Linked DNA regions of Arabidopsis thaliana. The protein of the gene in region 1 interacts with the protein of each later gene in a pairwise test. Each region holds a gene or a part of one and is shown in the gene's direction. Other genes may lie near its edges.

Region 1 (6,676 bases):
CTCTGGTTAATTTCCAGTTCTTTTGTGTTTGAGATATAGTGATACATTGTTCTTTGTGTAATGGTTACTTCTTTTCTGTTAGAGAAAGGAGACTACAGAGGTTTACTCAGTGGATGCTGATGGAAAGACGCAACTTGTAAGTTCTTTGTATTCTTCAACTTTCCAATTAGATATTGTCATGTTCTTATAACACTATGTTGTAAAGACGCTAGTGTTGTTGTAGACTTTGAGATATATGTTTGGAGTTTTATGTAACACCCTTTCTCATATATTGTCAAGTTAACACAAATGATTTCACACCCTAGTATAGCAGTTTCCATCTTGGTTGATCAAAATGGCCTTTACAATTGTCATGTTCCGTTCCTTATTTTGGTATCATTTTGGATAAACTAGGATCCAGTAGTTGCTGGGATTGAAGAAAAAGTTTCTGCGTGGACTTTCCTCCCAGGAGGTAACTTTACTTATCTTGGTTTTGTAATCTACGGAGACTTTGTGATTGCTCTTGGAAGGTCTCTTTTCTTGTGGCCAAACTGCTGGCTTATGTTTCTCTCTTGACGCACATTTTTCAGAAAATGGCGGCTCTATCAAGGTAAGAAGTTACACTTCTGAGAAGTCAGGAAAGAAGTTGGATTATTTTGGAGAGGAACCTAGCTCCGTATTGCATGAATCTTTGCTGGCAACCGTCGTTCTCTACCTCTCAAACACAACTCAAGGAGGAGAGCTTCTCTTCCCAAATTCAGAGGTCAGTTTGATTTCTAACCTGAGAGGCAAAAAGATGACTTTTATTTGGCACACCACAATGAATGTTGAGTTCTCCTTTTTTTCCAGATGAAACCCAAAAACAGTTGCTTGGAGGGCGGTAACATTTTAAGACCAGTAAAAGGAAACGCAATTCTGTTCTTCACCAGGCTCTTGAATGCATCTTTGGATGGGAAAAGCACTCATTTGAGGTGCCCTGTGGTGAAAGGAGAACTGTTAGTGGCAACAAAACTGATCTATGCGAAGAAACAAGCAAGAATTGAGGAGAGTGGGGAATGCAGTGATGAAGACGAAAACTGTGGACGATGGGCTAAGCTTGGGGAGTGCAAGAAAAACCCTGTCTATATGATTGGCTCTCCTGATTACTACGGTACCTGCAGAAAGAGTTGTAACGCTTGTTGATTCTTCAATCTTATCGCAAATAATTGAACATTTTCATACTCAAGTACTTGAGCTGTTTTTGGTCTATAAGATAGAATAAATAGTGAATAGTTAAGGGTCGTGGTGGTAATTAATTCCTCTTGGCCATAGGAGAAAAGAATATACTCACTTAGATCTTCTTTGATATAACTAGAAGTCTTTGTCTATGTTGTTATCTATGTTTCTCTCGAATCATAAATTTGCATCTTGCTGTTTCTTACGCAGCATAGTCCCTTTCTCTTGCTAGTTCCAACATTTTTAAAATTGCAATTTCCTATAAATACTAGATATTTTAAAAACATATCAACCAGTGTACTTGTTGGCTAACCAAAAAAAACAAACAAATGTTTTATCACAAGTTAGAGCACTATTGATGAAAAGTTGGACTAGTTTAACATGTTATGGTCCCATCGAAGAGATTATGATCTAAGCCCAAAATTTCATAGTTTTTAAAAAATGGTAATCAAAAGTTAAGTAGTTAAGTATACAGGAAAAATTTTAAATTGTAATATTTTTTCCTATAAAAATTGGATATTTATCTGGAGAAAATAAATACTCCATTTGGTTCCATCAATTTTGAAAAAAAATCAGAAGAAAGAAAAAATTAGAAATTGTATCACTCTCCTATCATCGGACCAACAAGATCTAGACAATTGTTCATGAATCATAATTTTTGTATGTCTATCCCAATAACTTTCTTCAAACATAACAGTCTATTCTAATATCTTACATGTTAAGAAATAATAAAATAAAGGATTGATAAAGAAAAAAAAAAGTTTTTTCTTTCTTAGTTATTTTTAAAACAAAAATACAAATTTACTGATCAAATATTTGCTGGATTTTTTTGTGATTTGAGCCTCAAGGGTTGTTTTGTTTGCCCGTACTAGGCCTTTATAATTTTTCTTCCAGAGCTCTTTTGCCTCCTCCTCCTCTCTCCGAAATTTTCTCTCATTTTTCTCTCTTCTCCTTTTTTGCGTCCCATCACTTTCTCTGATTTTCTCGGCGACTTTCTTCCGTCCCAAGCTCCTCTGAATCCCCAGAAGGATCGCTCTCGATTCTTCTCTTCCTCCTATTCTCCGCCCGATCTGTTACTGTTTTTTTTTTTACTGGTACGTGATCGGACTAACCATTCTCTTCTCATGAACACACACTAAATCGATTTGAATTCATTCCTTCGTCTATACATCACTGGTATTTGATTAGATTTCAAACCGCGAATACTATGATTTCAATTCCGATTTTTCTCTGTTAGGTGGCTTAGTCATGGAGGAAATTAGGCATCTGTCTGTGTTAGTGATTTTGACGCTATTTGAATCGAATACTGTTGATTTATATAGTTGCTTAGGGGAAGAATCGGTTCAGTATATAGGTGCTTTGTTTATAGGAATTTGTGTTTTGTGAATGTATGTTGCAGTCGAATTCAATGGAGCTTGTGAAACAAGATGGGAATGATTCTCTCGATATGCTTATCAGACGTGCGGTTGGAAAGGATCCGTTTCTTTCCTTCCCTAGACCTGAAAATACTCCTGTCCAGCTTTTTCAACTTCTCCATACCTTAGAACGTCCAGGTAATGTCTCATTGTCTCTCATCTTTTTTTGGATTTGACATTTTCACTGACCAAATACTTTGGAATTTGGTGGATTGAGTACTCTGTGGATATATCGTTTTGGTCTCGAGGGGTTTATCATATTAGCTTATTGAGTTTTTTTTAGATCCAAGTGATGCTTGAATTACATGTGGCCTAGGGTATGGTACATGGACTTTATTTGATGTTCTATTTCGTTCCCAGGCTGGCCATTGCTGACCCCTTTGAAGATACAAATGCAGAAGTGTGAAAAGTGCAGTAGGGAGTTTTGCTCTCCTGTGAACTTTAGAAGACATAACCGCATGCATCGCCGTCAAAGAAAGCCGGAAAAGGTTTGCTTAGTCTGAGCTTAACTATACTTTCTTCCTTTTATGTCTTTACTGGTTGCTTTACTCTTTTCTTTGAAGTCATCTGAAGTTTGTGTTTAAATGTTACCAGGATTTTGGCAAAGAGAGGGATGCGCTGGGAGCCTTTTGGAATAAGGTAGTTTTCCCTCTAGTAGTCTTCTCACAGTTATTGCCAATTCGATTAGTTTTTCCATCAGGTACTGATCTCTGTTGTTATTTCAGCTCTCTGCAACTGATGCAAAGGAGATTCTCTCAGTAAAGAGCATGATGCTTGAGGTACTATGATTCCCATTGATGCTTTCCCTTTTACCTTTATCTTAACTTAAAACGCATGGTGATCCTCACATACGAGTGTGGCATAACATGTTCTTCAGGCCCAATTCTAATTTCATTGTTGTTTGTCACATCTTGTCTAAGGGTTTGACTTTTTATGAATGCTTTATCGCTCTTTTTTCTTCATTAGTGAAAGGTGTGATACATAATAAGCATTGTCATAAATGTTTCCTAGAATGCCATATGACTTCATCAGGGTTATGGGATTCGTTTCCAAATAAATACTTTTTCATTAAACAAAAGTAAGAGTATACCATACCAGATTCGTATACATACACTCACAGGCTTGTTGAGTATGCATATCTGATCCATGATGTACCTTTCTTACCTTCTTTTCTCTCGCATTATGCATCATGGACCTGTGTCCTGATTAAAATGATTTGTAGACTAACTCGAGATGCTTTGTTTGGATTCTTGTAGGATATTCCTGGGGCATCAGTGGAGTCAGGATTAATGTCACTTATCGAAAAACCAGGCTATACTGCTCTGCCACAATATTATCTAAGAGCTGGTTCTGGCCTTTTGGTATGAATTGCATCTCTCTCTTGACGGTTTCTTTTTCCCTGTCTAGATAAACTATCCTCAATGTTCAACCTCATGGCTGATATATGTTCCTCTTTCTCCAGGATCTTCTCCAGGCTAGACCACCTAGACTTCCAATTTCTTCGCAGGAACTTTTTAGCATTCTTGATGATGCAAGTGAAAAAACTTTCCTGTCTAGCGAGGCTGCACCAATGCAAAAGTACATTTTTGACGGGGAAATAGGAAAAACTGTACTGGAGGCAAAAAATGTTGTTGCTTGCGCAAGCTTCCTTCTGGAACAGCGATTGGTAAATTTTTCCTTCAAAGTTTCACCATTCCTCTCTAGTTGGTAAAGCGAAGTGTCTAATACGAGAACTTTACTTTTCATGTATCCATTACACGCGATTTATCTTTATATTCTTAATGTGAAGATTAAAGCATGGCTTGCTGACAAAGATGCTGAAGCTCTGAGGTGCCAAAATTTACTGGTTGAAGAGGAAGAAGCTGCTCGAAGAAGGTAAGTGCTTATTAATTGCAATGCCAGTAATATAACGTTGCTGAATCCACTAAGTGTTGAGTCTAATTCACTGGTATTATGTTCGGAGCAGAAAAGCTGAGCTCTTGGAGAGGAAGAAGAGGAAGAAGCTAAGGCAGAAAGAGCAGAGAGAGAAGGACCAGAAAAAAGATGCTAAGGAAGACGAGAGCACCACATCAGAGGAACAACAATATCCAGCTGAGCCATCAAGCCCTTTATCTGTAGCTTCTGATTCTGAGGCACAGACACCAGATTCCTTACCAATTGATGATTCTTCATCCCTCGAGGAACCTCAAGTTTTGGAAACTAATAATGGAAGAAACAGTGAAACGCAAGTGCCAATGGTTGATGGCTTAGACAATGGCCAAAACATGGAAAGGCGAAGTGGCCGTAGGCAAATGCAAAGATCACAACAGGGAATGCCGAATGGGTTCCATGCTGATCATGCACCAAACCTTGGAGGCATGCGAAAGAATGGAACCAACAGAGACGCAAGAGCCAATACTACTAAAGTTTGGAGCCGAAAATCCGATAACCCCAAATTGATATCACAACATGCAGCAGTGACTCAGCAGGATCAGACAAAGAGCAGCGAATTTATAGTTGGATCGTTGAGTGTATCAATCCGAAACAGTGGCGAACATAACCAAACCAAATGCAGTGAAGGGGAGAGAAGAACAAAGACTGTTGAGGTGAAACCCGCATCTGAGCAATCAACTGTAAAAATATGGAGACCAGTGAGCAGTCAGGGAAGAAAAACCTCAACAGTCAATGGAAACACAGACAAAGAAGATAAGAGATCAAACCCAACTACACCCGAAGTGAAAAACGCTCATCACATAAGCTTGCAGTTTAACAACCACGAAGCAAAGGCGTTTCTTGCAAAGAGTAAACCTTCTTTTACCCTTTCTTTTTATCTTAATCTCCCTATCGTTTATATTTTGGAAGTTGTTTACTCAATCTGAATAAATGGCTTGTCAGGATGGAAAGAGGCAACCTCTGCAGAACACGTGACATTGGTTCTGTCTCAGGAAACCGACATCTCAGGCAACAACACTCACGAGTCCTCAAATGGTGTTATAACCGCAAGATCAAAGCTGAGGACGAAAGCCGAAAAGGGCACAAAGGTAAAGTATGTTCCAAAACAGAGGATTCCTTGAAAACTTGAAAACAAAAAGACAAGCCTGATTCTGGACCAGAGTATCATTCTTTTTAGGTATACCAAAAGTGCAGTGTTAGCGAGCGAGACAGATATTTTCTTTGCTTCTAGAGAGATTTTTTCCCATTTTAAGAGTCTTCATTCTTTTCTTTTTTTGACTTCATATTCTTGGTAGAAAGAGATTGTTTTGTTATTTTGTTGACCTTTTTTTTTGCCATTTTGAGGGTTTAAGATTTGAAACTGAAATGGGGTTCTCAGATCTTTTGTGCAATGAATTTTTTTCTCAACACGCACACCGCGTGTAGAGCTCGCCTTTCTAACTCAAAAATGTAAGACAATATAGTAAAGAGATGATTTTTATGTTTATACATAACCAAGAAAGAATACAGTTTCTTTTCTTTTGTCAATGATAAGTCTACCATTTAAGTGTTAAAACTATTTTATATAATTAACAGTACAAAGAACAAAGACACCTACAATACCAAGCTATATATATGTATAGTTGTTAGACCCCAATCTCTTACCATATCACTGACTTTGCTTCCCATGTTAGAGGTAATGAAGAAGGTAAAAGCTATTTCTTTGTGCTAAGTATGTCCAGAGCGTAAGACTGGAAAGAAAGTCCAACTGTTTCTTGGACTGTGATCACCTTTTCCGGCGACCTTCTCATTCGCCCACCACTCCGATCGAATTTTCTCTATCATCTCTTCATTGGTGCTATCAAACTTGAATTCTTTGTTAGAGCCTGTAGAAAACGATCTTAGCTTCTGACTCTGTTCGCTCTCTGTTTCTCCCGACGTTTTACAACAGTTTGGTCTTAAATGTTCGCCGCTTGCTTTTTCATGTGAACCGGAACGGTTTAGCTTGCTTGCAAGACACCGTGCAACGTCTTCACCAGTCAACTCGAAAGAAACTCTGTGAGGAACCACGAGAGCTTCATCATTATGCCTTGACGACCCGTGGTCCGAATTGGCTAAAGACGCAACCTCAGAGATCTGACTATCCAAAAGACTGC
Region 2 (4,540 bases), on another chromosome or scaffold:
TAAAATTTTGAGAATGAACATTAATATATATATGATTTGATAATATTTATTTATTTGTTGTTTAAATGACTTTTTTTTGTTCTTTTTCTTTTTTGCTAACTGTCTATAATCGCAAATGTTTACAAAAAAGAACTTTTAAAATTCATCGATTTGAATGGTTTAGAATGGTCCGAAACTTTTGAAATGTCTATTATTGATTTTAAAAGTTAGCACCGCAACCGTCCGTAAATATAAGATTTGTGAATTGTACTATTATTGATGTTTTAGGTTAAAAATGGTGTGTAAGCAAAAGAAAAGAGAGATTAATTGGGACAAAAAATCACACGCGTGAGTCTTAATTTCGAGGCGACGCCAACGTAAAGTCCAATTTCCCACTTGCAGCAAATTGCGCCTGAGATCACGTGATGCTTTCGTTCTCACGTGGCTCTTCTATCTTGCAACTTAATTATCACTTAAATCACTTATTGAAGAAGGTATTATTTCATCATTAAATTAAATTATCACTTAATTATATCACTGTTATTGTTCCAACGGTATTTGTTGACGGTTGGAGGTTTCGAGCATTATTAAGATGCTAAAATTGTCAAATTTAGTTTCAACAAAATTACTGAATTGAAAAGAGAAAACACTATTTTAGAAAACGTTTTTTTGTTAATGAAGTGTGTTAGTGGTAATTTTATGAAGCCACTCTTTCATTTTACTCATAACATCATCCATTTAAGTTCGGAGAAAATTCAAATGCAAAACATTTAGAAGTATATATTTCAAACATTTTTATTATAACAATAATTTTTCTTAACATTTCAAATATATTTATATTTTTGCGTAGAAATTTGAAAATATCACTTAATAAAACAAAATAATTTCTCTAAAACATCTTAAAGTGAAACGGAAGGAGTATAATAAAAATTGAATATACTTGCATAACAATTGGTCTTAAATGTTTTTCGATAAATCTATTTGTATAAGCATAGTAACTTAATGGTATAGTAGAAGTACTAATCGATCTCAGAAGGATGTTAACACTTTTTTTCTCAACTAATTTTCAACGACTGTTGCAAAAAGAAGGAAAAAACGTAAACACCGCAAAAATGGCAAAAAATGCGAATTGTGGCACTAAGGACATGTGACCTGGTTTCTTTGGCTAAGAACAAATGCACCTTTAACTTCTGCTCTGCATGGAATCTTCAGTCTCCACGTACGAGTCCAAGTGTCGTGCGAATGTTAATATTCAAACTCTACAATAATTATCATCAAACAATATAACCAATTCAAGTATTGATTTGTTTCCAAAATAACCGTTGTACTTATGCTTACGCAAGTCCGCAAGTTCATATTTGATATGCTTCTGTCTAGAACAGCTCTGCCCACAGTACTCCGTAGTTCGTCCGTACTCGCTACCAAGAAGAACAAATTCAACCGTATAAATGTTTATGTGGGTTTTGACCCAAAACACTTTGTCATAATCCTTGCTCAAAAAATCGTTAGGCGCTAGTCGAACGATGAGGATAGGTCTATCACCTAACAAAAAAATCAGAGATTATACGAAAATTAATCGGAAATTAAGTTTAGGGTTATTTAATATTTTTAAAACATATTCCTCCATTACAATTAAGAGAATTATATAACATTGTTTTTAGAATTGTATTAAACACATGAAAACAAGATTTTAAGTTCAAATTTATGATTTTTTCATACAAATTAGAACATAAGTTTGATGTTTTAAATTTGGATATTTAAAAAGTTGGATATTTTTAAATGTTTATCTTAAAAAATAAAAAAAAATGAAAAAAAAGTTTTGGACTAGGCATCCTCTAGACAGGTTTAAGCGGATCTATGATGAATAAATCAGATCAACGATTAATCTTTTCGATTTGGACAAAATTGCGGTAGACTCTATCCGATCAGCCGACTTTTTGAACAAGGGATTCATAACTATTCTTCGAAACATTTCACTAGTTACAACATTTATATTCAGTTTTTATTCAATTATTTTTTATACTTCTTTTTTTATATATATTTGGATCAAATATGTATCTTATATAGTGGGAGTCAAATACATTTTTTTAAAGTCAAATACGTTTTTTTAAAAGTCAAGTACATTATTTTAGGATTATTGATGTACAAACAATATTTTAATCTATCTTCATTGAACAAGCCCTCTATATAAACGGTGAGAGTTGGGTGGGTATTACCAAGGTGAGGTTGAGAGCATCTTCCAAAAGAGAGAGTGTTTGTGTGTGTGAGAGAGAGTGAGTGTGAGTGAGAGAAGAAAAAAAAAATTGAGAGATTAAAATTTGAGTGAAATTAGGGTTTATTCTCTTCTTGCTTTCTTTGCTTCGTTTCATCTTCAAACCAAAAGAAAAAAACTCTTCCATGTCCTGTCTATTCATCAGTCGTCTTTCTTGAGAAAACACAAATCACGATTTTCTTATGAAGTGTTGCTTTATGAGTTTATATTTTGCCAAAACTCATCTAAAACGACAAACTTTTGTTTAAAATTGTATTTGAAAAGTGTTTTCAAGAAAACGATATCCATCAAAAATATTATGATTTTTTCTGTCAATTAATATTCTTTCATTCTTTTATAGAGTTGATCAACTTCATGGGCATTTTTTAGTTCCCTCAAGTTTTGATCCTCTTATTTTATTTCTTTTTTTGTTGATAAATTTATTTTAGTTTTGATCTATGGAGGTTGCTTATTTCAAACCTCGTTGATCACTTTTATTTCTGTATAAACCAAAAAACCAGTCTTTGAATTTTTTCTAAAAAGACAGGTTTTATTTCTTCAACCATTTTTTAATTATAATTTTATATAATCTTGTTTTTTGTAGTACATTTTTTTTTGTATTTCAGGAAACTCCGATGGCGGATCTCTTCGGTGGTGGCCACGGCGGCGAGCTTATGGAAGCACTTCAACCTTTTTACAAAAGTGCTTCCACGTCTGCTTCAAATCCTGCGTTTGCGTCCTCAAACGATGCGTTTGCGTCTGCCCCAAACGACCTATTTTCTTCTTCTTCTTACTATAATCCTCATGCATCTTTATTCCCTTCACATTCCACAACCTCTTACCCGGATATTTATTCTGGATCCATGACCTATCCATCTTCATTCGGGTCGGATCTTCAACAACCCGAAAACTACCAATCTCAGTTCCATTACCAAAACACTATCACTTACACTCACCAAGACAACAACACTTGCATGCTTAACTTCATTGAGCCGAGCCAACCGGGTTTTATGACCCAACCGGGTCCGAGTTCGGGTTCGGTTTCAAAACCGGCTAAGCTCTATAGAGGAGTGAGGCAAAGACATTGGGGAAAATGGGTCGCGGAGATCCGTTTACCCAGGAACCGAACCCGACTTTGGCTCGGAACATTCGACACGGCTGAAGAAGCCGCGTTGGCTTATGATCGCGCCGCGTTTAAGCTTCGTGGTGACTCGGCTCGGCTTAACTTCCCAGCTCTCCGATACCAAACCGGCTCGTCTCCGTCTGATACCGGCGAATATGGTCCTATTCAAGCTGCCGTAGACGCTAAACTAGAAGCCATATTAGCTGAGCCGAAGAATCAGCCGGGCAAAACGGAGAGGACGTCGAGGAAACGAGCTAAAGCCGCGGCTTCTTCAGCTGAGCAGCCGTCAGCGCCACAACAACATTCCGGGTCGGGTGAAAGTGATGGGTCGGGTTCACCGACTTCGGATGTTATGGTGCAGGAGATGTGCCAAGAGCCAGAGATGCCATGGAATGAAAATTTCATGCTCGGCAAGTGTCCTTCTTATGAGATAGATTGGGCTTCAATTTTATCGTGAAAAATTAGGATTCAATTCATTTTTATTCATTTTAACTTGTTTGTATTTTCTTTTAAACTTTAGGGTTATTAGCTGTGCGTAAAATTTGTAATTTAGCATTTTGTATGAATGTAATGCAAGTGTGTAAATTATGGACAGCTCAAGCTTTTTTGTTCATGCCGTACCATGTAGACCCTTCTTCTTTTCTCTTAATTGAAATGAATATGGTTAGTATTACTACTATGAATATATTGTAACACATTAGAATCGTGAAGTTCCATTCTGCGACAGGACCATTGTGCTTAGCTTAGAAATGATTAAAAAGTAAATTAGTCTAAAAGGGAACAATATAGTGAAAACTTAAAATTTAAATTGCTAAATTTCTAGCTTAATATTATAAATTTTGGTCCTATTTTGAAGAAGTCAAAAGAGAAACACAAGAGTGGAAGAAAAGGATCCTTGATTGAACTTTACGTGGTATAAAGATAACCTCATACAAAGTGCCTACGTTGACGACATTCTCATGCTTTCTCTTTAGAATAGACCGAGTGATAGATAATAAGTAAAAAAAAAAGTAAAACAATTATCAAGTCTTTAAGTTAACACAAAAGATTAGATTTCTTTTTTTGTGTTTAACAATGGTAACCAAAGTGAGTTTTTTTTACGAGCAAACGTTGTCAAATGAGAAAGGAAGACTTGGATGATAAAAGTGTCCATGCAAATATAGAAACCAATTGCCAAGCCAAAGGAA

The links.
Region 2: the proteins of AT4G25610 (region 1) and AT1G36060 interact in a two-hybrid assay, tested with the Arabidopsis thaliana proteins (one large-scale study listed by BioGRID).

The regions. Positions count from the first base shown.
Region 1 is NC_003075.7:13,061,199-13,067,874, forward strand, and holds AT4G25610 (C2H2-like zinc finger protein), read left to right. Parts: upstream 1-2,028; 5' UTR 2,029-2,288; exon of another isoform or gene 2,289-2,468; intron 2,469-2,593; 5' UTR 2,594-2,602; coding exon 2,603-2,747; intron 2,748-2,969; coding exon 2,970-3,097; intron 3,098-3,203; coding exon 3,204-3,248; intron 3,249-3,334; coding exon 3,335-3,388; intron 3,389-3,865; coding exon 3,866-3,970; intron 3,971-4,071; coding exon 4,072-4,275; intron 4,276-4,398; coding exon 4,399-4,484; intron 4,485-4,575; coding exon 4,576-5,390; intron 5,391-5,483; coding exon 5,484-5,662; 3' UTR 5,663-5,718; coding exon of another isoform or gene 5,719-5,772; 3' UTR 5,773-6,030; downstream 6,031-6,676. Other genes in the region: AT4G25600 (Oxoglutarate/iron-dependent oxygenase), read left to right, coding at 1-5, 83-136, 394-451, 570-742, 829-1,161; AT4G25620 (hydroxyproline-rich glycoprotein family protein), read right to left, coding at 6,249-6,676.
Region 2 is NC_003070.9:13,453,988-13,458,527, reverse strand, and holds AT1G36060 (Integrase-type DNA-binding superfamily protein), read left to right. Parts: upstream 1-2,191; 5' UTR 2,192-2,865; coding exon 2,866-3,810; 3' UTR 3,811-4,032; downstream 4,033-4,540.